Tamandua tetradactyla: one gene and its partners. The protein of the gene in region 4 binds, or shares a complex with, the protein of the main gene of each other region. Links are inferred from orthologs where the notes say so. Each region holds a gene or a part of one and is shown on either strand. Other genes may lie near its edges. The genes, in order: KAT5, MORF4L2, MORF4L1 and MEAF6.

The links.
Region 1: MEAF6 (region 4) and KAT5 share a complex: the UniProt entries of both Homo sapiens proteins name them as parts of the nuA4 histone acetyltransferase complex. The link is inferred for Tamandua tetradactyla from reciprocal best matches to the Homo sapiens genes MEAF6 and KAT5.
Region 2: MEAF6 (region 4) and MORF4L2 share a complex: the UniProt entries of both Homo sapiens proteins name them as parts of the nuA4 histone acetyltransferase complex. The link is inferred for Tamandua tetradactyla from reciprocal best matches to the Homo sapiens genes MEAF6 and MORF4L2.
Region 3: MEAF6 (region 4) and MORF4L1 share a complex: the UniProt entries of both Homo sapiens proteins name them as parts of the nuA4 histone acetyltransferase complex. The link is inferred for Tamandua tetradactyla from reciprocal best matches to the Homo sapiens genes MEAF6 and MORF4L1.

What each region holds. Positions count from the first base shown.
Region 1 is NC_135335.1:8,814,746-8,821,977, reverse strand, and holds the start of KAT5 (histone acetyltransferase KAT5), read left to right. Parts: upstream 1-4,217; 5' UTR 4,218-4,266; coding exon 4,267-4,340; intron 4,341-7,232. UniProt on the Homo sapiens protein: Catalytic subunit of the NuA4 histone acetyltransferase complex, a multiprotein complex involved in transcriptional activation of select genes principally by acetylation of nucleosomal histones H2A and H4.
Region 2 is NC_135353.1:70,023,635-70,031,644, reverse strand, and holds the start of MORF4L2 (mortality factor 4-like protein 2), read left to right. Parts: upstream 1-5,001; 5' UTR 5,002-5,112; intron 5,113-6,040; exon of another isoform or gene 6,041-6,336; intron 6,337-6,525; exon of another isoform or gene 6,526-6,703; intron 6,704-8,010. UniProt on the Homo sapiens protein: Component of the NuA4 histone acetyltransferase complex which is involved in transcriptional activation of select genes principally by acetylation of nucleosomal histone H4 and H2A.
Region 3 is NC_135340.1:94,397,758-94,405,125, forward strand, and holds the start of MORF4L1 (mortality factor 4-like protein 1), read right to left. Parts: upstream 3,009-7,368; 5' UTR 2,411-3,008; coding exon 2,371-2,410; intron 1-2,370. UniProt on the Homo sapiens protein: Component of the NuA4 histone acetyltransferase (HAT) complex which is involved in transcriptional activation of select genes principally by acetylation of nucleosomal histones H4 and H2A.
Region 4 is NC_135328.1:187,799,943-187,807,893, reverse strand, and holds the start of MEAF6 (chromatin modification-related protein MEAF6), read right to left. Parts: upstream 3,007-7,951; 5' UTR 2,932-3,006; coding exon 2,842-2,931; intron 2,070-2,841; exon of another isoform or gene 1,878-2,069; coding exon of another isoform or gene 1,815-1,877; intron 1,638-1,814; coding exon 1,522-1,637; intron 1-1,521.

The DNA of each region.
Region 1 (7,232 bases), on a different chromosome or scaffold from region 4:
TTCCATCCTCCAAATCACTAATTCTATTTTCTGTCTCTTTAAATCTATCATTGTAGGTATCCATTGTTTTTTCTATCTTTTCTACTTTATCCTTCACTTCCATAAGTTCTGTGATTTGTTTTTTCAGTTTTTCTATTTCTTCTTTATGTTCAGCCCATGTCCTCTTCATGTCCTCCCTCAATTTATCGATTTCATTTTTGAAGAGGTTTTCCATTTCTGTTCGTATATTCAGCATTAGTTGTCTCAGCTCTTGTATCTCATTTGAACTATTGGTTTGTTCCTTTGACTGGGTCATATTCTCAATCTTCTGAGCGTGGACAGTTATCTTCTGCTGCTGGCATCTGGGCATTTAGTCAGATTTCCCTGGGTGTCGGACCCAACAAGGTTGTAAGATTTTTCTGTGAAATCTCTGGGTTCTGTTTTTCTTATCCTGCCCAGTAGGTGGCACTCGTGGCACACGTTTGTCTGCGGGTCCCACCAGTAAAAGTTGCTGTGGGTCCTTTAACTTTGGAAAACTCTCGCCGTCCGGGAGGTTCGCCAGCCGAAGCGGCTTGGAAGAGTGCCAGCTGGCCCGGGGTCCGAACGCGGGGAGGGTTGCTGGCCGCCGCCGCCTGGGAAAGCGCCCGTCCGAATTTCCTAGTCGGCCCAGGGTGCCAAGCTTGGCGGGAGGGCGCCAGTGGCAGCGGCCCGCCCGGGAGAGTGCACGTTCCCGGGGAGTCACGGGTTTGGAAGGGCCCCCCCCCCCGTCGCCGTTCTCCGCGGCCTGGGGATTTCCGATCCAATTCTCTCAGTTGGTCCGGGGGTCCGCACGTGATGTGGGCGCCAGCCGCCGCGGTTTGAGGGGACCGCCTGTCCAATTCTCCCAGCCGACCCGGGGAGGGGGCAGGGAGTGACTCTGGCCGCTTGCCGCCCGGTGAAGCCCGCGCCCCTCGGCGATCTCACCAGAGCGGGTTCTCTTAGCCAGCCAGCCGTTCCAGGATGGGGTACGCTGTCTTTTTTATCTCTGTCGTGGCTTTGGGAGCTGTTCTGTATCGCTTCTACTCCCCTAGTAGCTGTCCTGGAGGAGAAACTAAGATCCGCGCGTCTTACTAAGCCGCCATCTTCTCCGGAAGTCTCCAATTGCTTTCTTTTTTTGAGTATATAGCTGTTAGTTTTTTTGTTTTGTTTACATTTTCCTTCCACTTCTCATTCAAATTTCTCTTAAGAGGTGTCTCTTTGTGCTGCTTCCATTTCCTTGCCTCCCTCACACTCTGGCTTCTTCCTGTCCCCATGTCTGCAAGGAACTCCTCTCTGGGCTCTGTGAAGAACACCCCGCTGTCCACTCCAGCAGGCATTTTCCAGGCCTTTCTGCCATCTGTGCAGGGGATCCCCAGATCCAAGCCTTCCCTGTGGGCCCTCTGCCCAGCTCAGGCTCTCGGCCCCACAACCTTCTGGACATCCCCACTTTGAATCTAGCAAGCTCAACCACCTCACATCATTTGCAAAATACAAGGCTGTGTTCAGTTTTTCCATAAAGGGACTGTGATTTATTAGAATAAAGATTCTCCTTCCAAAGTAACTGAGACTCCCAGAGATCTTGGGTCTAGATGGAGAACTGCTAGCCCCCAACAGGCCAAGATCCCTATCTTTCTCTCACCACATTTTGTCATTCCTCAAGCTCCTGCCCCCTTCAGCCCTTGCCTCCACAGCTGCAAAAACTTTCTAGTTAGACTCAGGTCTCCACTCGATTGAGCCGTGTCCCCAATAATCCTTATTCACTCAGCTCACCTTTCTAAAACTTGAATCAGATAACACCATTCCTTTGCTCCGAATTCCCCAATGGCTCCCACTGCCTTTAAAGCAAAACATGGCTTTGATACAAGTGCCACAAAGGGCCCTGTGAACTCTCAGACCTCTGGATTATCCTCTGGGACTGTCTCCCTATTCACATTCGCTTCTCTCGTTCTTGGAATAAATGAACTACCCCCACCCTCCCTGGCTTCTGCACTGGCCATTCCTTCCCAGTGGGATCTCACCTTCCCCAGATCTTCTAATGCTGTCCCTTTTCATCATTAAGAACTCAGGTCACATGTTCTCCTTCAAGGGACATCCTGGCTGCCTCCTAACAGCCACTCCACTCTCCCCCATCCAGCAGCTACTGTGTTGATGTGACTGACCCACCCCAGCTATGCGAGTCAAAGCCAGTCAGGGTAGCCCTAGGCCCTTGATCACAGAAACTGGCTGAGACATTGGCAAATTCCCTAAGATGGTTCAACCCAAGGGGAGTTCAGGACTTTCCTGCCATAGCTGGGAAAGAGATTTCTCACTGGACATGACCATGGACACAGGTGGGTGGCCTTGGAGCTGTGGGCTGCAATCTTGCAACTGTAAAGGGGAGTCGGCCTTAATGTGGAAGAAAGGCAACCCCAAGGAGTTGGGAGTGGGAAGACATAAAGAAACCTGAGTTGCTGGTGACACTGTTGAGTCCGGGGATGACACCCTTCCTAAAGCTTCATTGTGCCTTTGGGCTTCATGGGACAAGACAGTCCCTGATTAGTCCAGCTTGAATGGGGCTTTGTGCTACTTGCAGGGGGAGCAATTTTGACAGACAGCTGTCCCAGAGACCTAGAGACCTGCACTGGCAGCCCCACCCTCTCTGACATTCTGTTTTATCATTTCACAGCACTTTTTGCAAACGATCATTTTTGTTTTGTTTTATTGAATTGTTTATGTCTGTCCCAATAAAGCAGGCACCTCATCTGTTTTCACTCATGTTGCTGTCCCAGGGTGTGGCACACAGTTGGTGCTCGATTAATATTGGTGCCCAAAACCAATATTCATGTGTTAACTTGGCCATGTGGTGGTGCCCGGCTGTCTGGTAGGGCAAGCGCTGGCCTGTCTGTTGCTATGAGAACATTTTGTGGACTTAAATCATGATCACATTGGCTGCACCCATAGTTGATTGCATTTATAATCAGCTAAGATGAGCGCCTTTTGAAATGAGGGTGCTTAATCTAATCACCGGAAGGCTTTTAAGGGGGATTCAGAAGAGACAGTCACTCTTCCTTCCTGCTTCAGCCAGTGAGCCTCTCCTGTGGAATTTGTCCAGACCCTTCATTGGAGCCACCAGCTTCACAACCTGCCCCATGGACCTTGGACTCTTACACTTCCATGGTTGTCCAGCCAGGCTTTCCTGAGAGTTCGTTGAGGACCTCATTGGAGTTGCCAGCTTGCAACCTTAGACTTTACATTCCCATAGTTACATGAGACATTTTATAAATTTTATATCTATCTCCTGCTGATTCTGTTTCTCTAGAGAACTCTACCTGATACAGCCCCCAACCCCTTTCTATAGCTAACAACCACCCATCCTCTAAGCCTTAGGTCAGGCATTGGAAGCTCCAAGACCCCTCCCTATATGCCACCTGGATCAGCATCTCTCCTGAGCCCCGGGTTGCCCACCTTACAGGATTAACTCCTGTCTGCCATAAATGTCAGTTCACATCCCTGGCTCTTCTTCAATGTCAGGTGCTTCATCCATTTGACAAGTTTTAGCTGGATGCCTCCTGTGAGTGTGACACTATTCTAGAAGCTGGGAAAATAGTGGAGGACAAAACAATAGAAACACTGCCTTCATCCCAGAGTGGGAAAGACAAACCAAATGAATAAGGAAAATGTATGATTTGATAGCTGGGGATAAATGCTCTGAAAAAAAAAATGAAGTGGATGAGGAATACAGGGTGGAGGGGAGCGTGGGGACAGGTTTAGCTGGGGATGTGAAAGAAGACCTCATTGGAAAGGGGGCCGTTTTGGTTTCCGGAGCTGCTTAAGCAAATACCATGCAAAGGGCTGGCTTAAACAATGGCATTTCAACAGCTCATAGTTTTGAGGTTAAGAAAAAGTCCAAATCAAGGCATCATCAGGGCAATGGTTTCTCCCAGAAGCCTGTGGCATTCTGGGGCTGGCTGCTGGAGATCCACGGTGCTGGGCTTCTCTGTCACGTGAAAATGCCTGTGGCGTCCTCTCCTAGTGTGCTGGTCTGAATCCGTGGTGGACCCCAGAAAAGCCATGCCCTTTGATCCTCATTCAATATTGCTGGGTGGGAGCATTTTGATTGTTTCCATGAAGATGTGACCCACCCATTTGTGGGTGGTAACCTTTGATTAGATGATTTCCATGGAGGTGTGTCTCCACCCACTGAAGGTGGAGTTGCTTGCTGGAATCCCTTAAAAGAGGAAACATTTTGGAGAGAGTCCCTTTTTGGTAGAGCCACGAGAAAGCCAGCAGATGCCGCCATGTTCGCCATGTGCCCTTCCAGCTGAGAGAGAAACGTTGAACGTCGTCGGCCTTCTTGAACCAAGGTATCTTTCTCCGGATGCCTTAAATTGGACATTTCTATAGACTTGTTTTAATTGAGACATTTTCTTGGCCTTAGAACTGTAAACAAGCAACTTACTAAGTTCCCCTTTTAAAGAGCCATTCCGTTTCTGGTATATTGCATTCCGGCAGCTAGTAAACTCGAACACCCACCATCTCAGTTCTCTTTTAGCTTCTGGTGAGTTCTAGCTTCTTACTTCCTCTGGCTTTCTCTTTTAATGTCTGAATTTCATTCTGCTTGTAAGATATAGATAGGATTAAGACCCATTCTGATCGAGCTGGGCCACGCTTTCACTGAAGTCACCTCCCCCAAAGATGTTACTTACAATGGGTTTGCACCACAGGAATGGATTCAGTTTGAGAACATGCTTTTCTGGTACTTACAGCTCTGAACCACCACAGTGCCTTTTTTTTTTTTTTTTTTTTTTTTTTTTTTTTTGGTGCATGGCCCAGGAATCGAACCTGGGTTTCCTGCATAGAAGGTGAGCATTCTACGCTGAGCCATCCATGCACCCCACAGTGACTCTTGAGCAAGGACTTGTATGATGTGAGGGTGTGAGCCCCGTAGACAAATGGAGAGAAAATGTTGCAGGCAGAGGAAACAGCAAAGGCAATGGGGGAGGTAGGCGCTTCCTGTGCCCCAGAAACAGCAAGGAGGCCGGTGTGGCTGGAGTGGGTGACGGTGGGGAAAGATGAGGTCAGAGTGGTAACTTGTGTGTGTGGGGGGAGATGAATTTGTGCAAGGACTCTGAATTTTACTCTGAATAAGCGGGAAACCACGGGTGGGTTTGGATCATCAAAGGGACGTGGTGTCAATTATATTTTTAAAGTTCCCTCCTCTCCTGCGTATGAGGCTATTGCAGTAGTCCTGGGTGCATCTGGGTGATAATGGTGAAAGCAGTGAGAGGATGTGCTGATGGGTTGACTGCAAACCAAGCAGAGAAATCAGGGATGACTTTAAGGTGTTTGGTCTGAGCACATGGAAGGATGGATTCGTGACTGACACGGACAAGAGAGATGGTGGGACAAGCAGGTTGGGAATGAAAATCAAGGGTTTGGTTTTGGACACGCCCTTCAGACATCCAAGTGGAGATGGTGAGTGCGCACTGAGTCTGGAGATCACGGGAGAGGTCTGGGCTGAAGATATAAATGTGAGAAACCTCAGCAAGTGAATAATACTGAAAGCCATGAGCCTGGAGGGGATCAAGAAGGGAGCAAGTGTAGATAAAAGTCCAGGAAGAGGACCCAGCAACGGAGATGAGGAGTGGCAGAGGAAGGAGGAAGGAAACCAGAAGAGTGTCGTAGCCCAGACGCCAAGAAAAGGGTGTTTCAAGGAAGAGGGAATGGCCAATGGTACCAAATGCCACTGAGAAGCGGCCATTAGATTAGACGTGTGGATGGGAGGGGCTGTCACGAATGACCTTGGCCAAGAGGCAGGGCTGAAATCTGCCTGAAGTTGATTCGTGGCAGACTCTCAATAAACATTGTCTGCATCAGTGAATGACCAATTTCAACTGCCTTCCTTTCGGTCTCCCTTTCTGTTCTGACTGCCCCAATTCTGGGACACCGCCACCAGGTGATCTCAGCACAGATGCAGTCTTTCCCCAAATACAACTTCAAAGCAAACCCTGGTGGGATGAACATGTGAACAACTGGCATAAGGATCATCTTTGTGGGATCGTTTGCAATAGGAGAAATTGGACACAACACGAAACTGGCTATGACAGCTAAGAGGCATCTAAGACAACAAAACACTGAAAAGCCATTAAAATAGTGCTTCAGATACCTCACAAGGCTTCAAGTTTACACTGCTAAGTGAACAAGCTGATAACAGCAGAGTGCACACAAGAAGAAACTATTTTTGTGTTGATCAGAAAATAAAGCAGGGGTTGACTAATGGTTTCTGTAAAAGGCCAGACAATAAATATTTTAGGTTTTGTGGGCCTTGTACTCAGTTTTAGAGTGAAGAGAATCAAAGACAATATATGAACGATGAAAGTGGCTATGTTCCGATAATACTTTATGGACCCTGAATTCTGAATTTCATATAATTCATGCAATTTCACACAATGTTCATGAGCCACAAAAGTTCTTTTGTTTTTTTTCCCCAATATTTAAAAAAATTAAAATCCTTCTTAGCTCATAGGCTGTAGGAAAGCAAGCAGTGGGTTGGATTCGGGCTGGTGGCCACCATTTATCCACCTTTGCTTTACCGGAGAGTCAAAATGTTCACGGTGTCCATTGCCCCGTGATGATGTGAGTTTGGGCTTTCTACTCCCTTACTGTGGTCTGTGTTTTGGAATATTTTCCCCTCAGATATGTGCATGGCTCATTCCCTCACCCCTTAAAATCTTGGCTCAAATAATACATTGTAAGCCACCTGCCCAAAGCACTCTAAAATTGCAACTAAACTTTAAAACTTACATTGCTCGATTTCTTTTTTGTTTTCCATCAGTTATCACTCTTTAATATCCTAAACGATTTATTTTTTCACTGTGTTTAGTATTTACTATTTCTATCGCAAAAAATGTAAGCTCCATCAGGGCAGGGGTCTATTTTGTTCGCTGATGTACTCCAGACTCTTCGAATAGTGCCTGACACATGGAAGGGACTCGCCATATATTTTTGGAGTATATGAATGAATAATCCACACATCACTCTCTAAAATCAGAAACCTAATATGCAAAAGAACAAATCTAGACATCTTTGTAAGTCCTCATCTCTAAGGGACGAAGGCCACATATTTGGCCCGGCATGCAAGGCCCTTCCCAGTTTGAGTCCCACCCACTTCTCCAGCCGGGAATAGCTGCCGCCCCCTCTCTAGACCCCCTAGGTCCGCTCAGACACTGCACGCCCCCGCCGGACACACGCAGTTC
Region 2 (8,010 bases), on a different chromosome or scaffold from region 4:
CAGCATTGTACTTTTGAGGAATTGCCCTTGCTCTATTCTCTGTCCCCAGTTTCTAATCGTTTTACCTTAACCTCAAGATCTTGAAAGAGAATGTCCTCCAAAGACCCTGAGTAGTGCCCCACCTCTCCAACCATATCTTGTCACTCCTAGCAGTATATGGATATCCTCATCTGTTCAGTCACACAGTAAAACACAACAACAACAAAAAGAACAAACCTATACAGTTTTCAATGGGTACCTTATGGAGTCTGCCTTTCCAAGCTGAGCAGTCAGATTTCAGGTCCCTGAACGTGTGTGTGTGTGTGTGTGTGTGTGTGTGTGTGTGTGTGTGTGTGTCATGAATTTGCCTTTAGAGGGTCTATCTGCTCACTTTTAAAACCTGCAAATCATATATATGGGGCCTGGAGCCTTCAAAAAATATCCTTTGAGGCCCTGACTGAGGACCTCTTTGCCACATATTCTGCTCTTTGCTATCCTCCTTTCTTAGTAGCTCTGCCCTCTCCAGCACTCACCTGGAGTGAGAATGAAGTCCTTTAATGCTCCTAATTCTGTCTCTTGCCCCCAAATTCCCTTTGCCTGGGTTTCTTGCCTGCTGGTGAACAGTTTTTCATCAGTTAGCCAAGATTGGCTTCCATGATTTTCAACCTCTTCCTACTCTCAAACACCCAATGGATATACTATTTTTCAATGACAATGCCACATTAGAGCAGTGCTTCTTTGTGGCATTGTCATTGAAAGTCATTGGTAGTCAGAGGGTCTACCAGACCCTCCGAGGGGTCTGGTAGAGGGGGGCTGCAGGAGGGAAGAGATTCTCCTTCTAGGAGAACTTACCAAAATTTCTGAGAAAGAGACTTTTTCAATCTAAAATAATCTACCTCTCCAGATTTTCATGTGATATATCACTACCAGAGAAGTGTGTGTTCTACCCACCCTATGGTTAGGAAGGACTCCCCTAAAGAGAAACCTATATGTTCTCTTCCATAGAACAGATCAAGCCCTTTAAAAAAAATTTAATTTGGTAACCTTCAAAAATACTAAGCTACAAAAATACACAGAGGTAGAAAGAATGGTATAATGAGCTATCATGTTCCCATCATTAAGCTTCAACAATTTAGAGGCAGTACTTTAAGTAGCAGTAGTTTGTTCTCTTTTAATAATATGACAGCTGATCTTTTCAAAACACATACCTTTTATCATTCACAGTGGAATGGGGACTGTAGGTGAAAGTTATAAGCATAAACAAATGTATCACTGACAAAATGGTTCCAGGAATCCTCATGAGGCAATGCACATATTGTAGGAGTCAGCACTCACTGGTGGGAATTAGTTCTCATCTCTGCTAGTTATGCACAACATGGATGATTTCAAACAATTATTCCAAGTGAAGCCTGTGGTTCTCAAAACCACAAACTTAGGTTTTGTGACTCAGGAAGGGAAAACCAAGAGATTAATGTGTAAGTCTGGAATCCCAAGGCCACCCAAGAACAACAATGATTAGGTTCAAGTAGAGATCTTAGTGTTTTCTTCCATTTGAAGTAACCTCTTTTTGCCAAAAGAACGGGGGGGGGGATTTCATCTACAGGAGAGAGTAGCTAGAAGAGAATAAAACCCCTAAAATGATAAAGCTTTCCAATGTCTAACTTCATCTTCTGCTCTGGCTGTCAAAGGCTAATGAACTAGATGGATCCAGACTAATTTGCTGAATTGGTTTCATGAAATCTCTTTGGAATGAGGCAGGTATAAACAGATAAACAGAAAAATATCCTTATTAAAGATATAGCATTTTACTTAGCCTTGAATATTAGGTTTTCCTTTTAGCACATATGTTAAGCAAATATTCTTTTAAAAATCATTCCATAAATCAGACAAAACCAAATGAAAACAAAAATCAAATTACCCTTAGAATGGACCAATTTCCATTCCTACCCAGAAACCACAGGGTGTCCTTCCCAGCCCCTCAGAGCAGACAGACCACTACTTTTCAAATCTAGTAAGGATCTCTTAGCCACTAGACAAGACAAGCAATGCCAGCAGACACTGTTGGGTAGGTTGCACCTTGAACAAGGGTGCCCAACTGAGAGGGCAGAAGTGGGGGCTGAAATTCATGCTTTAACTACCCTGATGGAGGCTGTAACATCTCAGAGAGAGAGAGAAACATTTTTTTCTAATTATTCCACTGGAGTGGACACTTTTCTGAAATTTGTTCCCAGGTGGCACGTTTCTAATTAGCACAAAGGTACTGTATGAGCTAATGGAGACCTTGATGATAAACACAGGATTCTTGCAGTTTCTAGAAGCCCTGTGAAGGCTGAGACCATAATCTGTCTGGCCTTGGGCACTGGAGCCAAACAAACACTGATCAAAGCTATCTTTTCCCTTTCAGTTGCAACAGATAATAAAGACAGCAAATCAGGTATAAATTCAAAAGGAAGACTAACATTTTCTGGGGACCTGATAAGAGTCAGGAATCTGCTGAAGCTCTGCCCCACTAGTAAGTAAAGGAGGCAGGAGAGTATTCATATTTGAGAGGGTAGCATGACTTAATGGGACAAGCATGGGTCTTGGAGTTAGAAATCTGAATCCTCACTCTGCCATTTACTAGCTGAGCAACTTTGGGTAAGTATTTAAGTTCTCTGGGCTACAGTGAGGATTCATGAAGATAACAAAGATAAAGAGCTTGGCACTTTAGGAGGTATTCAGTTCCTGCTATCACCCTGACTCCAAAGTTCATTAACATTATTCCCACTCTTGGGCTTGCAACTTCAGTAAGCAGAGTAAAGCATAAGGATAGGTCTGCTAGACAGAATACTGGAATAGAGTCAGGAGATGTGAGTCTCAGTGTGAGACACATCCCTGACACAGTACCTTGGGTAAGTTACTCCTCTCTTCTGACCCACCAATAACACAGAACACCCCAAGCACTGACTCTGAGAGGAAAGAGCAGAGGAAATCATTTTTCTTGGGTACCTATCATGAGACATGTGCCATACTAGGCCTCTAACTCAACGCTGCCCAGTAGAATTTTCTGTGATGAGGGTAATATTCTGTATCTACACTAACACTATCACCAGTAGCTGGACATAAGTAGCTATAAAGCCCTTGAAATGCAGCTAATGCAATTAAGGAACTGAGTTTTAAATTTTATGTCTTTTAAATAGCCACCTGTGGCTAGTGGCTACCATAGTGGATAGTCGAGCTACAAGATTATATGCAGGAATATTTGTTCTCCTGTAACATATGGTGAAACTGAGGCTCAGAAAAATGAAAGAATTTGTTGAAGGTCACTTAAATATTAAGTAACAAAACCAGATTCAAAACCTGGGAGTAGAAAGTTTAGCGGAGTAGCAGGGTCACATATACCTGTGATTATCTGGATTTCACTATTTACAAATTGTATGACCATAAGAAAAATACTTACGGTCTCTAACTCACTTTCATCATCTGCAACACAGATCTAAACTAAAAAAAGCTAGCTACAGGGTAGGAAGAGTATTTTGAGAACTATAACAACAAGAAGAGAAACACTCAAACTTTTGTGTGATTTCCTATTGTAAAATGAAGAAGAGAGGGAGAGTTAAAATCATCAAAACATTTCCATTTACCTTGTTTGAGTTCCTGCCCTCTTCTTGACCCTCTAGTAAGCCAAAGCAGGAACAAGGTATCTGTAACACATTTCAAGGCCCAGAAAGCCAAGCTACAAACGGTCAAACAGAGTACTGTTAAGGGCTTGAGCTTGTGAGGCAGGTAGAATTCAAATTCTGGTTCCCATACTTGTCATGTGTACTTGGGAAAATAATTTGACATCTCTACACATTAGTTCCTAATCTGTAAAATGGTATTGATAGTATGCAGGGGGCCCTAACAATACATTGACATCACTTATTATTTTGCTTTATATTCCATACCACCCTCTAGTGGTACAAACAAAAATAAGCATTGCATTTCTGCCCTCTAAAGCAGTGGTTCTCAAACTTTAGTGTGCATCAGAACACAGCTTGTAATAGCACACACTGCCAAATCCCAATCCAATAATTTTTCATTCAGTAGGTTTGAGGCAGGGCCCATGAATCTGAATTTTAACAACTTCTCAGGAGATGCTGACACTGCTGGTCCAGAAAACACTTTGAGAACCAGTGTTTTAACCTTCCCCTTTTACATAAACAAATACACGTATATATGTGTATGTGGGTATATATACACACACACATATATATGTATGTTTATATGATTGATAGCTGAAGAGGTATGATTTTCTTGTTTGATTGTTTTTTGTAGCACCACCTAATAAGGATTTTATGAGGAATAAATGAGACTATCCATTTGAACATAGAATCTAAACCTTAGAAAGCATACAAAAAGTGAGGATCATGGAACATACATTGTTTGTCCAGTGTCACAGGGCTAATAAGTCATGAAATAGGTTTCAAAGCTAGATCTCTAATTCGAAAGACACAATACATTTTAGCAGCAGCACTACTAAAAATGGGGTACAAACACATAACACATAAATCTGAAAAATTTTTCAAGAGGAAAGGAAGATCAGTGTTCAATACCAAAGTCCAAGTTTTATCTCAGAGTTGTTATCTATCTTTACTGACTAAACAGCCATCTGTATTTTTCCTTTGGAGGGCGGGAGTTGTGAGAATGTGGGGGAAAAGGTGAAGAGAAAGGGATAGGTTGTTCATCAACACCAGTGCCTGAGGTCATTTATAAACTCTGACAAAAGAAGGAAAGGAATAAAAGAGAGGGATGGAGGGGGAAAAATTAAAAAGGGACGGTAAAAAAAGGAAACAAGGAAAAGCATGTGAATCTTGAGCCAATAAAGGTTGACTTAATTTTAATTGTTCCCTAGAAATGAAAACTATATACCATCACCATAGATTGACGAGTTCAACAAATCCCACCGAGGTTGCGGGTGGGGGGCATGGGGGTGGGGGCAGAGGAGGTGGAAATCCCATAATTCCAGGGCTCAAAACAGCCAATCCTTTGCTGGGATTTGGCGGCATCTAGTGGCAGCATCTAAATGTATAAACCTCATCCAGAGAACTTTCTGGAAAATTAACTGAACGTGAACTCGCCTGAACAGCACTGTTGTTGGAGATCGACAAAAAGGTAAGAGAACCTCAGCCCCCACAGAAATTCAGAGTCCATAGTGGAAGGGCAGGCTGTCGTATGTAGTTATTCCCCACAGAAAATTGTATTTGTGCCAACAGAATGGCACGTAACTTTCTGGGCGGGGCGGGAACAAGAGTAAAGGATACTGGATAAATGAAAGAAGCTGCCCCCTTAGAATTGCTAATTTGGGAATGGAAAGGTTTGGCGTTTTTTTTTTTTTCCTGGTAACGTATATACAACCTTAAATTTCCCCTTTCACAACATTCAAATAAATGATTTAGTGTTGCTAATCACATTCACCACGATCTGTTACCAAAACTTTGCCATCTCCCCAAACCGAAACTGTATACCAATGAAGGTTTGCCTTTTAACCATTGGAGGGCTATAGTTTAGAACAGGATTTTGATACTGAGAAAAACGTGTGAAGAAAGTGTATTAGAGTCTAAAATTGAATTGATGGGGCATACCGAAATACTGATATATATAACAAAGGCCCTTTTTTCTGTTTCGCTGCTTGACTTAATTGGTTATTTCCTTTTTCATTACAATAATTTTCAAACATATACCACAGTAGAGAATGACCACTATAATAATGGTATATAATAATGATACTATAATAATGCTTATATAATAAGCACCCACACGCCCATCTAATTCAACAGTATAAAAGAACAGCTCACCTATAAGAAACACACACACATCGCTTGTTTAGGGACAGACGCGCGTGCTCGCACACAAACGCGCGCGCACACTCGTCCAAAAACAGAAGCCGGCCCCAGTGCTTAGGGCGCACGCTTATCTGCCAGCGCCATGAGCGTCTGCGCACACACACAGCCCAACGCAAGGCCACGCGAGTTAGTCCGCGTACACCCACCGACCCCAACGTCACGCGCCCGCGACACCCACCATCCTCACTCACACGCACATAAAAAAACTCCAGCGGCCTTTTTTTTCTTTTTGCTCAGATCGTTGCGCAAGAGGTTCGGGGGCGTGGCCCCAAACTGGACCAACTGCTTCCCCACCTGCAGGAACCTTAGCTCATTTCCGCCCATCCGTTTCCGCAGGCCACGTAGACACTTCCTTTCCCAGTGGGGGGTGGGAGGAACCCATAATCCTTCCCTGCAGGAAAAAAAAAAAGCAACCTTCTGATCGGGGGAACTCTGGGTTGTGAAAATAGGCCACGTGAACATCCTGTCCTATAGACTTATGACCCAACGGCTGTCGCCTTTTTGGAAGGTGGGCTAAGAACCTAAGAGGGCGGGCATGATTGGCTGCAGCGCGCACTAAACGAGAAAGATGATTGGTTTCCTTCAGACCTTAACCGTGAAGAAGCGGTTGCTAGCACCCCCCTTTACTGCGGCGAAGTGTCATTGCTGACGTGGTGGTCTTCGTCCAATCGTTTGGTTATAGAACATTCTAAAACTTAGAAAAGACGAATTTGATTGGCTGAAGGATGTAAGCCCGCCTCCAGGGTGACGTGTCTGCCTATGGATATCAGTTGCCAGAGAAACCTGGCTTTAGTATGGCGGTTGGAGGAACGGCGGTGATCACACGTCGGCTGCTGGGAAGAGCTGGATTCGCGTTTCAGGTTTCGGGGTGGGGGTGGGGAAGAAGGGTCGATTATTTCCCTTTATTTTCATGTATATAGATAGGATTACCTAATGGCTTTACAATCATATAGCGTTGGGTTTAAATCCCTACTCGCCAACGCCCAGCTTGGGCAAAGATCATGTTCTTTCTGTGTCTAGGTTTCCATGTTTGTAAAATGGTGATAATAATCGTATCTACCTCGGAGATGTGTATTGAGGGTTAAATATAATAGTACATATAAGGCACTTAATACGAAGCCTGGCTCCTAAGGATATTAGCCATTATTATGGAGATTAAATTCCCACGTAATAGAATGAGAAAATAGAGCATAAATTATGCAGATTTGCTTATTATACTGCCTTACCTGCCCATCAACTTCTTCTGATGAATTAGTAGATCATAAGAAACATATCATCTCTACCATTAAAATAATATGCTACCTGAGATCTGCTTTACAATAGTGGAGGTGGAGATTTTCCATATTGAAAAGTTAAAAAGAGACGGAGAACGAAAGCTGGAAATCAACCACATGCAATGAGTAGACCTTGTTTGAATCCTGATTCGAACACCCCAACTGTAATAGATACATAGGGAGAAATTGAACACGGATCCAATATTTGATGGCTTTTTTAAGAAATTGATAGCGATATTTTAGGCGTTGTAATGGGAATGTGGTTATGTTTTTTAAATTATTTATATCTATACAGATATATACTAAAATAGTTGTAGATTAAATAATATGCCTTTATGTTGATGACTAGGATTTGCTTCAACATAATCTAAGCAGAAGGAAGTGGGCAGGGGTATAGATGAAACAGATTTGCCCTGAATTAATAGTTTAAGCTGAGTGATGAGCCTTTGGGATTCTTTATATTATTCTACTTTGGTATGTTTTTGGAATTTTCCATAATATAAAAAAGTCAACTATTCCGTGAGCTTAGGAAAAAATGGGGGGAGGCTGGTGGGTGGGGTTATAGATGAAACAAGATGGCCTTCAGCTGGTAATTGTTGAAGCTGGATGATGGATTCATGTGGGTTTATAGTACTGGTCCCTCTAAATTTGTATCCATTTGAAATTTTCCTTAATAGAAGACTTTTAAAAATTACTATATCAAACAACTAGAGCAAAGATGCTCAATAAAGTAAATTTGAAAATGTAACCACAAGGAAGCAAAAAGAAACACTGATACATTATTTATCATCTTTGGTGTCCTTTGTGTGAGATAAAATTCATTGGTTGATGGAGAAGAACTCCATCATCTCATATCTTTTTGTTTTGTATCCTTTCCTGTCCCCTTGTTTGAT
Region 3 (7,368 bases), on a different chromosome or scaffold from region 4:
TAAAATTTAAAGGAATCATAAACAGCAAAAAATGCTATCTCCTCATTTTGTTATTTCATATCCCTATCATTATATACTCTTCTATCGTGTTTCAAGATGATTCTTCTCGCATTAACAGAATATTCCTTTCCTCCTTACAAAAGATTCTGAATGTATTTTATAAATACCTGTAATTTACTAAAGATGGCTAGAGAATTCAGTATTCATACGAAAGTAGAAAACACACACGGAAAACGATGTTAAGAGATTCTTGCAAACCTTTCAAAAATTTACCCCTACCTTGCTTCCTCAAACCACTATGGATAGCAGCACATGGACTCTCATTTACTTCTACCCACCTCACTCTACATCTCTCTAGTTCAGAACTAAATAAAACACTTCCTCCAGGAAGCCATGAGTAAAATGGTTTCAGATGCCAGTGATTTTCCTGCTTTGATATCCTATATTAGGGATTAATTTTTTGTATCATGGACCCTTGACAGCCTGTTAAAGCCTATGGGCCTCCTCTTAGAATGTTCTGAAATACAAATAAAACCAACTGTAACTGAAATAGTAGTTGTCAAAACATTGAAGTACAATTTCCTATGGTATTACACATGCTCCTTAGTTAAGATTTAACTGCTGATGCAATAACTATCATTTTGAGGTAATGAAGAGCATTCAGTAACCACAATGTCGATATGGAAATAACTGATTTTTGCTGGCGACAATCACAGTACTGCTAATATTACTGTGGACTGTTTTTATTTGGCTTACAATCATAACTGAAACACAGAATTTCGTCCAAGTTCACCGGACCCTTTGAATTCTGTCTAATGACCCTACATTAAGGATCCCTGGTCTAAAGCACCTAGTAAGATAATGAAGCCACAGGACGTACGATAAAGTCGCAATCTCTCCAAGTGGGACACAGGAGGTATTAAGTATTTTCTGGGTGTACATGTTACTAAAATTAAAAAAAAACCAAAACGAACTGCACAACACAGTGACGGCTAAGTTAAACCACGGACTACAGTCAATAGTACAATTATAAAAATGTGCTTTCATCAATGATAACAAACGTTATCTTGCATCTTAAGCATCATTTTTCTGTAAACCCACACTTTTTAACAACAAAAAATGACAGCACGGTCACAGAGTCTTTTAAAAGCAATTTAAAAAGAACCATTATCCAGAATACCTTTGGAAACCCCTTAAATACTCCATAAAAACATAATACCCTTGGATTTTGGCTACATGACTCCAAAAGTAATTCGAACGCATACCGATGTGAGAACATTCCTGAAACAAAAGTTTTATACAGGGCGTATGGACATCCGCATTTATGAAAACTGGCCGGCGTGAAAGCGTTCCTTTCGGCTAGAGGATTTACTTCCTCCTCGCGCGTGGAGGCCCCATCTTCCACGAGCACCCACTGCTAACGCCAGCCGAAACATCTGACCCAGAGGCAACTAATAAAAGCCAATTGAGCTCTCAAATCACTCTTCGTCATATTCTAATTGCAGTTAGCCTAACATCCGGGCAACAGGACTTCGAAATGGAGACACGAGCCACTGCTTTTTTCTTTCCTTTTCACGAGGAGCCGCACAGCAGGAAGCGCGCACTCCTCACGGAAACCTCGGCGCTCCGCTCTCGGAGCGCAAGACCAGAGGCCTTCAGGCAGCCCGAGGCCGGCGGCACCGCTCCCGGCTGTCTTTTTCGTCCCACCCGCCTTTCGGAGGTAAACGCGCGGTCGCGACGAGGGGGGCGCTGCATCCGCCCCGAAGCTACGTCTGCCGCCCGAGGCCGCGACGCCGGCAGCCCCGGCGGGGCCGCCATCTTGCGGCGGCCATTTTACAACGCAGTTCTCCCGCCCTGGGGCGCTCACCCACCCCCGCGGCGCACCCGGGCGTCTACACCGCACGCGGCCACCCGGGAGCTGCAGGCGGCCCTCGACCGCTAGAAGCCGGCCGTCGGCGAGGCCGGGCGACCCCGCCCCGGCGCCCGAAACAGCCGCCGCTGCCTCCCCTCCCCCCGCGCCACATCACTTCCCCTACCCGCCGCCATGGCGTCCCAGTCGCCTCCCTACAATAGGCTGCGTTCTCCGCGCCCCCTTCTTCAGAACAATAACAAACACTCGGCCGAGGTCCGCCACGCGCAAGACGCTCCCTCTGCAGTTCTCACCGCCTGCCTAGCGCTGCCGCTTCCCACGGCGTTTTCTCCCCATGACGCAGTGAGACTCCCCTCCGCAATGCGCTGTCCCCACAAAGCGCCACCCGCCGCCCTCTCGGGGCGCAGCCCACGCCGCCCCCGGCCCCCAGACCTCACCCACCCCGAGCCCGCCTCCCCCGCCTGCGCCGCTGAGTGCCTCTCTCCCGCGTCCGGACTCACCCTCCTGGAATTTAGGCTTCGGGTCCTGCTTCGGCGCCATTTATAAGTGATTCGCCGCCGCCTCCTCCTTCTCCCACCACCCCCGACTACCGCCCCCTACTCTCTACCCCACCCAACTCAGCGTCAGCCGCGCCGTCAGGCTCTGCCAACTCTACATCCCGCGCCCGATTTGCCAGCGCCCGCAGACGTCACAGCCCCGCGACCCGCGCAGCCTCAGTTCCAGCCGTCGGTTGCCCGCCGCGCAGGCGCCCTTCCGTCCGCGCCGCCCCGGGGCACGCCGGGAACGGTAGTTCCAAAATGGGGACGCCGCGGGGCGGGGGAGGGGTCAGGGCTGCCGGTGAGCCCGCTTTCCGTGGCAGGTCCCCAGTCGGGGGTGCGTAGGAAAGCTTTGGGGGCTGCAGTCTGGCCGGAAGGCGGTGGGAGATAGGGTCCCCGACCGGAAGCTTCGTGCGGCGGCCAACTCCCTCCCAAACTGCTTGGTGGTCGGTTGTCTCCTGCGCCGACCCTCCTTCTCCGGCCTCGGCCCTGCGGCCGGGAGGGTGGAGCTGCGGTCGAAGCGGGACGCGGTCTGGGGGTGGAGCTCGGCCGCTGGAGGGCAGAGGACCGCCCGTGGGAAGGCACCGGTGGTGTGCACAGACGGCAGCGACGCCGGCCGGAGGCTTTTGTCGCGGGCTGAGCTGGTCTCGTGGATGCGCGCACGGTCGCCGCGAACGGCCTTCCCAGGTCCTCGTCCCGCCACCCTGACCGCAAAGTCCTCGGTTTGCTCTGCTGCCAAATGGGGCTGGTAGCCCCTTCCTGGGGTGTACTGTGAGGACTTCGTGTTAAAGGCTTAGCGTGGTGTCTTAACGGGCTGAAAGCTCAACCAACGTGAACCCGAGGATTAATCCCTCCGCCTGGGCTTTGCACGCGTCTGCAGCCCCCACCCGCCCTCCCACGCTCCTCCGTCCACCCTGGTCTCCGTGGCTTCTCCAAGCCCCTCTCCGTCTGTCTGACTCCTGTTTCTCCTCCAAGCCCCCTCTCCTACACGACCTTTGTTCTATCACAGAAACCCACAAGTAACCCGAGCTCTTTATTCCAGCTGATTACGGATCATCTTGTCTCTACAACTCCTTTGGCACAACTGTGCTATTAACCACACGAAGAAAGGGGCCAGGGCCTCTGTGACTCCCTCCCCCCACAAAACTACTCCATATGCATTTTTCAAATTTTTGAATACGTAATCCTTAAAAATCTTGTTTTAATTAAATATTATAAAAACAGAGATAGTGGAAAGTCTCCTTGTCATTTCTGTTCTAGTTCCCCTGGGAACAAAAGTCGCCTATGTATCCGTGCCGTTTCTTTATCCTAGCATTTTGTCTATTATTTACATTAAAGTTAAAATAGTTTTTACCTTTACGTTTTAGTGACACAAGCAATACTTGAGTGTGTGGGTTGTATCTGATGCAGCAACTCAGAAGTTCAGCATGCAGGGCAAAACTCAAGGAACTCCTTTGATTTCCCCCATTTGCCTTTGTACTGCTTGGTATGTATATCTTTTTCAGCCCTTTCCTATGTTTTTTTTTTCTTACCATGAATGGGCTGTTCATGTGTTCTGTGTCTTCTTTTTTAACTTAATGATATGGCCTAGTGATCATTCCAGTCACATACCCATCTAAGTCACATTTTTAATAGTTCATGACATATTATAAATATACCAGAATTAATCTCGCTTGTGTAGCTGGACAATTAGGCTAATTCCATCTTTTCACTATTAGAGACCTATATGTTTGAGCCTCCATCTTTATGCACATTTCTTTTCTTTTTCTTTTTTTTTTTTTTTTAGGTTCCCTGCATATAGAATATCTAAGTCAGAGTGTGGGCATTTTAAACTGCCCTATGATAGGCTTCACCAATTTACATTTCAACCAGTAATTTGAGAAAGGGCTTATTTTCCCACATCCTTGCCAAACATGGTATTATCGATCTCTAGAAGTTTGTTTTACTATGTCGGTAAGTCATGTTGCATGTGCTGGTTTGAAAGGATGTGCATCCCCTAGAAAAGCGAAGTTTTAATCCTAATCCCATTTTGTAAAGGCAGCTGTTTCTTCTAATCCCTACTGAATACTATGTGTTTGAAACTGTAATCAGATTGTCTCCTTGGAGCTGTGATTTAATCAAGAGTGGTTGTTAAGCTGGGTTAGGTGACGACATGTCTCCATCTATTTGAGTGGGTCTTGATAAATTTCTGGAGTCCTATGAAAGAGGAAACATTTTGGAGAATGAAGTGATTCAAAGACAATAGAGCAGGACGACATAGCCACGAGAAGCAGAGTCCACCAGCCAGCGACCTTTGGAGACGAAGAAGGAAAATGCCTCCCGGGGAGCTTTATGAAACAGGAAGCCAGGAGAAGAAGCTAGCAGATGACTCTGTGTTCACCACGTGCCCTTCCAGCCGAGAGAGAAACTCTGACTGTGTTCACCACGTGCCTTCTCACTTGAGAGAGAAACTGTGAACTTCATCAGCCTCCTTGAACCAAAGTTATCTTTCCCTGGATGCCTTAGATTGGACATTTCAATAGACTTGCTTAATTCAGAAGCTTAATTTTCTCGGCCTTAGAACTGTAAACTTGCAACTTATTAAATTCTCCTTTTAAAAGCCATTCCGTTTCTGGTATATTGCATTCTGGCAGCCAGCAAACTACAACATTGTGCAAAAAAAACCAGACACTTTCTCAATGGTGATCAGAATCAGAGAAGTGGTTAACTGAAATGGAAGGGGAGTTTAACTGGGAAAGGGGGACAGGGAACTTTTGAGGTGCTGGAAATATTTTATAACTTGATCTGGTATAGTTATATGAATGCTTCCTTAGGTAAAAATTCATCAAGCCATACATTTACAATTAATTCATATCACCATATCTGCATTATTCCTCAATAAAAGCATCTTAAATCACTTTTTTCTTTTAACTATGAAAAATTCAAACAGGAAAATGGAATAATAATATATGCCATCTAAATTCAACAATTGTGAACATCTTCCCATCTATGTGTGTGCGTGTGTGTACACATCATGATTTCTTGAAGCCTGACTTCTTCAGTATGCATTTCCGAAATATAAAGGCATTCTTGTACATGCCGCAGTGCCATTATTACATACAAAACAATTAACAGTAATGCCCTAAAATCATACAGTACTCCATACTAAAATTTCCACTATTATCCCTAAAATATTTTCATATTTGTTTTTTCAAAACAGGATCCATTAAATGACATTTGGTTGTTAAATCCCCTACATCTTTTTACAACTAGGCCAAAGATTCTTAACCGGAGTCTATGAATGCAATTCAAAAGGTGAGTAGGAAAATTCAAAGGTTGAATAGGAAAAAATTTACTTCTTTATTGACTCTAGTTGAAATATAGCATTTCCCTTCATTAAAAATGAAGGTAACAACTACATTAGCATTAGCAGCACCCTGGACTTTGTCGCCAGTAGAAATTGCAGATATTTTTATATCATGTTAAAGTTCTTGCAGATATTTAAAATATATTTACATTCATCACTACTTTGAAATTACTGGAATTATTAGGCATGCCACTAGATGTTGTCATTTAATTCATTAATATTGAGGCATAAACACCAGCATATCGCATTCTAAAAATATTTTGATAACTGTACTTCAATGTAATATTTTACCTTCTATACACCTATGTGGGCTTTTTTTCTTTCTGCATTTAAAAACAGATTTCTAAGAAAGAGTACATTGGCATTAGCAGACTGCCAGGGGTCAGTCTCTCTAAATGACACATCTTCATTAGGATTAGCATTGGGATTAGTATTAGCATTAGTATTAGAATTAGTATTTGTTCATGACATTGGCTATTTTAATATCTGACATTCTGGATTTGCCTGATTATTTACTCACGGTCAGTAATGTTTACCTTACCTTTTTTTCTTCTTTCCTGTTCCTATAAACTTAAAGTGAGATCTAAAGTGTTGATTAGATTCAAGCTGAAAGTTTTTGACGAGAGTATGTTATAGGTGATGCTACCCACTTTTCATTCCGTGGCATCAGCAGGCACATAATGTCTGGATGTCTCACTTTTAGGGATGCTAAGTTTGATCACTGGGTTGAGAAGCTTAAAGCCTCTTTGGTTTTGCATAATCAAATGACATTTAATTTTATGGAAATGTTTAAACATGTACAAAAGTTGAGGGTATAATACGGTGAATCCTGCTCCTTCTATCACTCAGCTTCTGTGTTATCAACACACAGCCCATCTTGTTTCATTCTTACCCCTCATCCCTCCTCTCCTTGCCGCAGCCCCAGCAATACATGCACACAAATCCCAGCTGCCATATCTATTTAATTCATAAATAACTTAGTATGTCTCTCTAAAATACAAGTATCCCTTTTTAACACAATACCATTATTAAATTTAAAAATTAATAATTCCTTGGGGTGCACAGGTGGTTCAGTGGCAGAATACCATCTTCCATGCGGGAGACCCAGGTTCGATTCCTGGACCATGCAGCCCCCACCCCACCCCCCAAAAAAAACTTATTAAAAAATAAAGAATTCCTTAATATCTTCATGTGGGCAGTCAGCACCCAGCTGTCCCCAAGTGTTTCATCCATGCTTTTTTTAATGATCGGCTGGTTCAAATCAGGATCCATACGAGGGCCACACATTGCATACACGTGAGATGTCATGGTCTGTGTTTCTTTTATTTGCTACTTATTAGTTAAGAAAGCAGACCACAGAGAACTAGCACACTTTCTTAGATGCTGCATTTATGAATTCAGTGAACTTAAAATCTTCAAATATGAGTTCCATGGAAGAATAAAATGTGTTTTATTTGGTATATGTTTGACAATATTCTTTTAGCGCAAATAGTAATGAAACATCAACCAACAGTAAGAAGAAAACATCCCCTGAGATGAAGCTCATTTTCATGTGTCATTTCTGAAGGAGCTGTGAGGCTGACGTCCTCCTGACCTGAACTTGGGTCGCAATCCAA
Region 4 (7,951 bases):
CAACTAAGATAAAATCAACCATGAACACTAAAACCATTGAATAAAAGTATGGAGGAAGTAGTATATTCACACTACCTAAAAGTATAACCCTCCAAATTACTTGTTAATTACAAACAGAAAAAAAATGAACTTTTACAACTGAGAAATGAAATTTAGCAGCACCAAGAGTGGGACAATATGATTATATGTGCCTCCTGATATAAAAATGGGTATATAACAAGGGGTATGCAACATCATTTATGTAGGATTTTTTCCAAAAATATGTATCCTCTTTATGAGTTTTATGAGACTACAAAAAGAAAAACCTGGAATGTGGTACATTCTACAACACTATGTGATAAACAACAACAACAACAACAAAAAAAAAGGATGGGAGACTCTCCTAAATTAAAAGAGACTAAAAAGACACAACAAACAGATGCAATGCACAAACACAGACTGGATCCTGGATCAAACAAAACAAATCAGCAAGGCTTTTTTTTTTCTCTTTGACAACTGGGGAAATTTGAAAAGTATATTAGATGATGCTACTATTGCAATGTCAACTCTCTAAGTGTGATAACTGTGGTTAGGTAGGAGAAATGTTCTTATTCTTAGGAGATACATGCTGATATATTTAGAGGCAAAGTGTCAGGACATCTGCATCTAACTTTCAAAAGGTTTAGCAAAAAAAAAAAAAAAAAAAAAAAGCACTGGGAGGAGAGGGAGGTACGACTATAAAGGGGTAGCCTGAGGGAGATCTTTGCGGTCACAGAATAGTTCTGTATCTCAGTTGTTTTGGTAGTTACATGAATCTACATATGTGATAAAATGGCATAGAACTATACACACAAATGTGTACAAATGTCAATTTACTGGTTTGACACTTTACAACAGTTATTTAAAACACAACCATTGGTGAAAACTTGGTGAAGGGTACACAGAACCTCTCTCTACTATTTTTGCAAGTTCCTGTGACTGTGATTATTTCAAAATAAAATACATACATTTTTAAAAGTATAGATATATACATCTTTATATGTATTAGAAAAGAGAAAGCAAATGTGGCAACACGTCACTATTGGTGAATGTAGATAAGTATCTAGTGTTCATATACTAGTCCTTTAATTTTTTTACTGATTTGAACATTTTGGAAAGTCTTAAAGAATATTATTAAATAAATAGTGGTATAATTGACTCACAGGTATGGCAAAAATCGTGAGGGTAAAACTCATGACTGATTAAAATGTGGAAAACACTAACGCAGTGTTTTCGTATAAGGTATTTTCATATACTGTATTTCATTTAAACCTCTCACAACCCTGTGTGATACCTCCACCTTGCCCCTATTCCATGAATGTAGGATGTGCCCAAGGTACTCAAGGAGTGAGTGGTTGAGCCAGAGTCCAATTCAAGCCCAAACCTCTTTCTATTGCCACCATTTTACTGCCTCGCTATAAAGTTGTACCAAAGAAACATATAGTTCTAAAAACAAATATTAGTAGAGAACACCGCAGAACACGACAGGCTTCTGACACTCACTTTTGGTTGGTCAGATATCGATCCCAGCCGCGAATAATATTGCCATACATCTGAGTGTCTTCCAGGTAGCTCCCTTCAAAAGCATAGATCTGTCTCTCCAGGTTTGCCAATGTTTCCTGGGAGATGAAAAACATGGACACGGATAATGCCTGTTAAATGCAAACATTAAGTCTGCCCAAACTGAAATCTGGATATGAGACAAAGATCTGTGCTCAAGCACACTAAACCACCCTTGTGGAGAGACTGATGATAATGGAGAGGGGCAGGCTTTTCAGGATGAGGGCAGTCTTGACCTTTTGGACATAACGACCCCTTGAGAATGTAGAGTCAGTCCTCAGTAAAAAACGCATACACATGTAAAAATCCGCATATATTTCAGAAGGTTCATGGACCCGGGCTGAAGCAGAACGTGGGCAGCCTTCACTACCACGCACAAAAGGTCTCGCCACCAGGGAGAGGGAAGAGTGGGCAGTCTTCCTGAGCCTACTCGCTTCCCTCCAGGTTGACTCAGAAAGGCTGCCAGCATTGGGCTGCCAGTTGCTATGGAAACTTGGAAGGATAGGTTCAGGTGATACGGGCCTCCCGGACGCCCAAACCAAAACACGGGAGGGGAGAGCAGTCAGTCTCCAAGGTGCACAGGACCCTGGGTGCACGTCACAACTGCCAGCTCCATAGACCGAGTCCTCTCCCCTCGCCTGTCACCTTCTAGATGTGCAATACCCCATCCAACGAATCTACTCCTAGTCCCCAAAAGGACAGAACCCCCGACCATCCTCCAAAGGTCAGACAGTATCCCCTTCCCACACCCTCCTCGTACCCCACCTCCCCAAAATCCAGGGGCAAATCTGAGCCCCCCGCCCCCCCACACACACAGCCCATGGACACGCCCGCCTACCTTCACCCCTCCAAGATCGCGTACACGTCCGCCCTCACCCACCCCCAAGGGCCACGGACACGCCCGTCCCCACTCCCCAGGCTCACACACACTCGCCCTTTCTACAGCGCCCACACACAGCCCGCCCCCTCCCCAAAGGCGCCTTCCTTCCTCCACGCCCCTCCTTTCTCCAACCCCTCCTTCTCCCCGGCTCCCGCGCCCCGCCCCCCGGCCCGAGGCCCGGCCCCGGGTCCCAGCTCCGAACCCGAACAACCGGAAAGCAGAGGCGGCCGCGGGCCACGGAATGGCAGCCGGGTCTCAGGCCGCCGGCGTCCCAGCCCGCCGCTGCGCCCCCGGAGTAACGGCCAGACGCCGCCGGGCTGGCGCCCGGGGGAGGGGGTTGGAGCGGAGCCCCGACCTGGGCGCCCCCGGCCCCCGACGCTCACCGCCAGCTCCTGCTTCCGTTTCACGAGCTCGGCCAGCTCCCGCCGGGTGTCGGGGATCTGAGGAGGCGCCGCCTTGTTGTGCATCGCCATGTTGGGCTAAGGCGGGCGGCGGCGGCGGCGCGAAGCTAGGGGCGGTCCCTGCGCGCTGTCGCGGGTCCGCGAGGGGGCGCCCCGCCGCCGCCCTGCGCCTGCGCGCGCGGCTTCCGGAGCCGCTCGTCCAGCCGCGTTCTGGCATTTGGTTCTCGCTGGCCCTGCTGAGAGAATCCCACTCGTCTGGTGTTCTGCTCCTAGATTGACGGCTGGCCTTTGCAGATATCACAAACTCACCATGCCCCCAAACAGGCTCTTCCTTAAACTTCCGCAGTCTCTTCTTCGGTGAATAATTTTCATTATCCTTCCCAGTTGCCTAAATCAAAAACCTGGGATCACCCTCACTCTCCCTCACCCCTTTAACCTAATCCCATTTCCAAGCCCTGTGGACGCAACTCCAGAAGAGCTCTTAAACTGTTTGCTTCTGTCCATCCCCTCTGCTGCTTTCCTTCTTGCCCTATTTTTAAAAAATATTTTATTGAGATACCTTCAGGCACCACACAGTCCATCCCAAGTATACAATTTGGTATGACGATATCATCACATATTTGTGTATTCAATACCATGATCATTTTTGGAACATTTGCATCATTCCAGAAAAAAGAAAGTCAAAATAAAAACTCCATACATTCCATATCCTTTACCCCTCCCTCTCATTCAGCACTAGTTTGCAATCTACCCCAATTTTTTTACTCCTTTCCCACCCCCTATTATTTATTATTTTGTGTATTTATTTATTTATTTATTTATTTATTTATTTATTTATTTTTACAAGGGAAGACACCGGAAAACGAACCCGGGTCTCCGTCATGACAGGCCAGAACTCTGCCACTACCCTGTTTTTTTTGTTTGTTTGTTTTTAATTCATCTGTCCGTACCTTGGATAAAGGGAGTGTCAGCCACAAGGTTTTCACAATCACACAGTCACATTGTGAAAGCTATACAGTTATACATTTGTCTTCAAGAATCAAGGCTGCTGTAATGACTTGTGAGGCATGCAACTAGGTGTATGATATTTAATGAAATGTCAGGAACAAAAAGACAAATATTATGTCTCAGTCATATGGACTATAATATAAAAACTTGGTGAACTAAAGTCAAGAACATAGGTTATCAGGTTGGGGCCTATTGTAAAGGGTCCCAGATTGTAAGCTCTTGCAGTAGTCACATATATTCAGGAGTTGTAACAGCTATTTCTAAATTCTGAGATCCTGAGCTGTTTGTTTGTAACCTGGTTGTTCCCAGAAACTTCAGGTATTTATGTGACACCTGCGACTCAAAGAGTTAGAGCTATGAAGCTATGAAAGTCAGCAGTACCCCGTATAGGAACTGTTTAAAAAGTTGAAAAAGTAATCAGACTTTGAGTAGAGAGGTGAATGAAGCTGATCTAGATAGGACTAAGGTAGATCAGAACACAGGGTAAGGATGACATCCTACATATTTTAAAACTTCAACTTCTGTGTAAGCAGTGGGGACAACCAAATCAATAGGCTGAGCCCTTGATTTGGGGGTTTGCCCCCATGAAACTTATTCCAGCAAAGGATCGGCTAAGCTTACTTAAAATTAGGCCTAAGAGTCACCTCCCAGAGAACCTCTTTTGTTGCTCAAATGTGGCCTCTCTCTCTAAGCCAGCTCAGCAGGTGAACTCACTGCCCTCCATCCCCCATGGGACATGACTTGCAGGGGTATAAATCTCCCTGGCTGGCATCAAGTGATTGAGAAAACATTCTTGACCAAAAGGGGAAAAGAGAAATGAAACAAAGTGCCAGTGGCTGAGAGATTTTAAACAGACTCAAGAGGTTACCCTGAAGGTTATTTTTATGCATTATATAGTTATCCCTTTTTACTTTATGATGTATTGGAGTGGCTGCAGGGAACTACCTGAAACTGTTGAGCTGTGTTCCAGTAGCCTTGATTCTTGAAGACAAATGTATAAAGATACAAATTTTACAATGTAATGCTGTGATTGTGAAAACCTGTGTCTGATACTCCTTTTATTCAGGGTATGGACAGATGAGTGAAAAAATATATATGGATAAAAATAAATAAATAATGGGGATGTGGACAAAGGGTAAAATAAATTGAGTAGATGGAAATACTAGTGGTCAGTGAGGGAGGGGTGAGGAGTATGGTATGTATGAGTTTTTTCTTTTTATATGTTTTTCTGAAATGATGTAAATGTTCTAAAAAAAATGATCATGGTGATGAATACACAACTATGTGATGATATTGTGAGCCATTGATTGTACACCATGTATGGAATGTATGTGTGTGAAGAGTTGTTAAAAAAAGAAAAGGGAAAAAAAAGTTTGGAAAAAGCCTTAGAGCTGAGACAGCCCACACAACCACAGACCTTTGGAGCAGAAGGAGAACATACCCAGGGAAGCCTTATGAAATGAGAAGACAGGAGACAAAGCTAGCGGACATTGCCATGTGCCTTCCCAGCTGACAGAGGTGTTCTGGACCCATTGGCCTTTCTTGAATCAGAGTATCTTTCCCTGGATGCCTTAGTTTGGACATTTTCACAGCTTAGAATTGTAAACTTGCAACTTAACAAACTCCTTTTTTAAAATCCAAAAAAGAGGGAAAAAAAAAGAATCAAGGCTACTGGAATACAGTTCAAGAGTTTCAGGTACTTCCCTCTAGCCACTCCAATACACCATAAACTAAAAACAGTATCTATATGTTGTGTAAGAATAACCTCCAGGATAAACTCTAAACCCTGTTTGAAATCCCTCAGCCGCTGAAACTGTTTTGTCTCATTTCTGTCTTCCCTGTTTTGGTCAAGGTTTTCTCAATCCCATGATGCCAGTCACAGTTCATCCCCAGGAGTTATGTCCCACGTTGCCGGGGAGATTTAGGCCCCTGGAAGTCATATCTCACATAGCAGGGAGATCAGTGAGTTCATCTGCCAAGTTGTTGTTGCCCTATTTTGACTACTTTATTCCAACAGCCTCTTTATTTCCGCTTTCAGACTTCTTTTAACCCATTATCCATAATGGTGCTGGGGTGGTCTTCCAAAAACAAATTTGATGTTGCTACCATGGTTATAAGGCCTTAGACAGACAAGTACGTGTCTGGTTAAGAGTACAAACTGAAATCATAACTACCTGGCTCAACAAATGAAATCAGAAAGAAAGATAGACAATAAAGACTGAGATGGTGATGATATTGTGGATTGCCGACTGTGTGTGTGGAGCGATCAGAGTGGGAATATTTGCGTTTGTTTGGTGTCTTTTGGTATTTAAAAAAATAAAATTAAAAAAAATACTGAGATGGTATAATCTAGGAATGCCTAGAGTGTATAATGATAGTGACTAAATGTACAAATTTAAAAATGTTTTTGCATGAGGAAGAACAAAGGAATGTCATTACTGCAGGGTGCTGAAAATAGATGGTAATTAATATTTAAAATTTTTAACTTATGTATGAGACTAAAGCAAAAAATGTTTATTTGGTGCAAAATTTATATTTTGACTAGTGCATTTCCTAATGTAACTTATGTAGATAGCTTAATTGAACACGATAAGCACATGGAACCTTGAGTAGGGCACGAGATTTTGTTGGTTTGTCCAGAACGATGCCCCAATAAATCCCAGAGTGATTTGAACAGTGAATAAAAAAGTATCTGCAAAGTCCCCTTTGGGGAATAGTGAGAAAGGGGGAAAATTCAACTTCCCCAAGTTGAATTCTTGATATTCTCACAAGCAATGGGGACAACCAAAGCTATAGGCTGAGCCCCCAGTCTTGGGGGTTGTTCCTATGAAACTAAACCCCACAAAGGATAGGTCAAGCCTACTTAAAATTAGGACAAAGAGTCCCCCCCAAGAGAACCTCTTTTTTTGCTCAGATGTGGCCTCTCTCTCCAGCCAATATAACAAGCCAACTCACTGCCCTCCTCCTGTCTATGTGGGACATGACTCCCAGGGGTGTGGACCTTCCTGGCAACGTGGGACAGAAATCCTAGAATGAGCTGAGACTCAGCATCAAGGGATTGAGAAAACCTTCGCGACCAAAGGGGGAAGAGTGAAATGAGACAAAATAAAGTGTCAATGGCTGAGAGATTCCAAACAGAGTCGAGAGATTATCCTGAAGATTATTCTTATGCATTAAATAGATATCACCTTGTTAGTCAAGATGTAATAGAGATTCCAAGAAATGGTCATGATGATGAGTATGCAACTATGTGATGATATTGTGAATTACTGATTATATATGTAGAATGGAATGATCAAAAGTTAAGAATGTTTGCATTTGTTTGGTATTTTTTGGCATTAAAAAATTTTTTTTAATTAATAAAAAAAAAAAAGATGTAATGGAGAGGCTGGAGGGAACTGCCTGAAAATGTAGAGCTGTGTTCCAGTACCCATGTTTCTTGAAGATGATTGTATGATACAGCTTCGCAATGTGACTGTGTGATTGTGAAAACCTTGTGTCTGATGCTCCTTTTATCTACCTTATCAACAGATGAGTAAAACATATGGAATAAAAATAAATAATAGGGGGAACAAATGTTAAAATAAATTTAGATTGAAATGCAAGTGATCAATTAAAGGGAGGGGTAAGGGGTATGGTATGTATGATTTTTTTCCTGTCTTTTTATTTCTTTTTCTGAATTAAGGCAAATGTTCTAAGAAATGATCATGATGATGAATATGCAACTATGTGATGATATAGTGAATTACTGATTATATATGTAGAACGGAATGATCTTAAGTTAAGAATGTTTGCGTTTGTTGTTATATTTTTTTAAAAATTAAAAAAATTAAAAAAAAACAAAAAAACCTACCTGACTCAAAATCTTACCCCTGTCCTTCATAAACGATGCCACCTTGAGCAAGTAACCAAATTTCACTTCCTCAACTTCTCTCTTCTGTAAAAGGGAGCTAATAATTATACCTACCCAAAACAGTTGCTGTAAGGAGTAAATCACTTAATATATATAAAGGGCTTAGCAAGTAATAAGGATTATGTAAATATTAGCTTCTTCCTTTATGTCCAATATCATTCCATTTGTTTT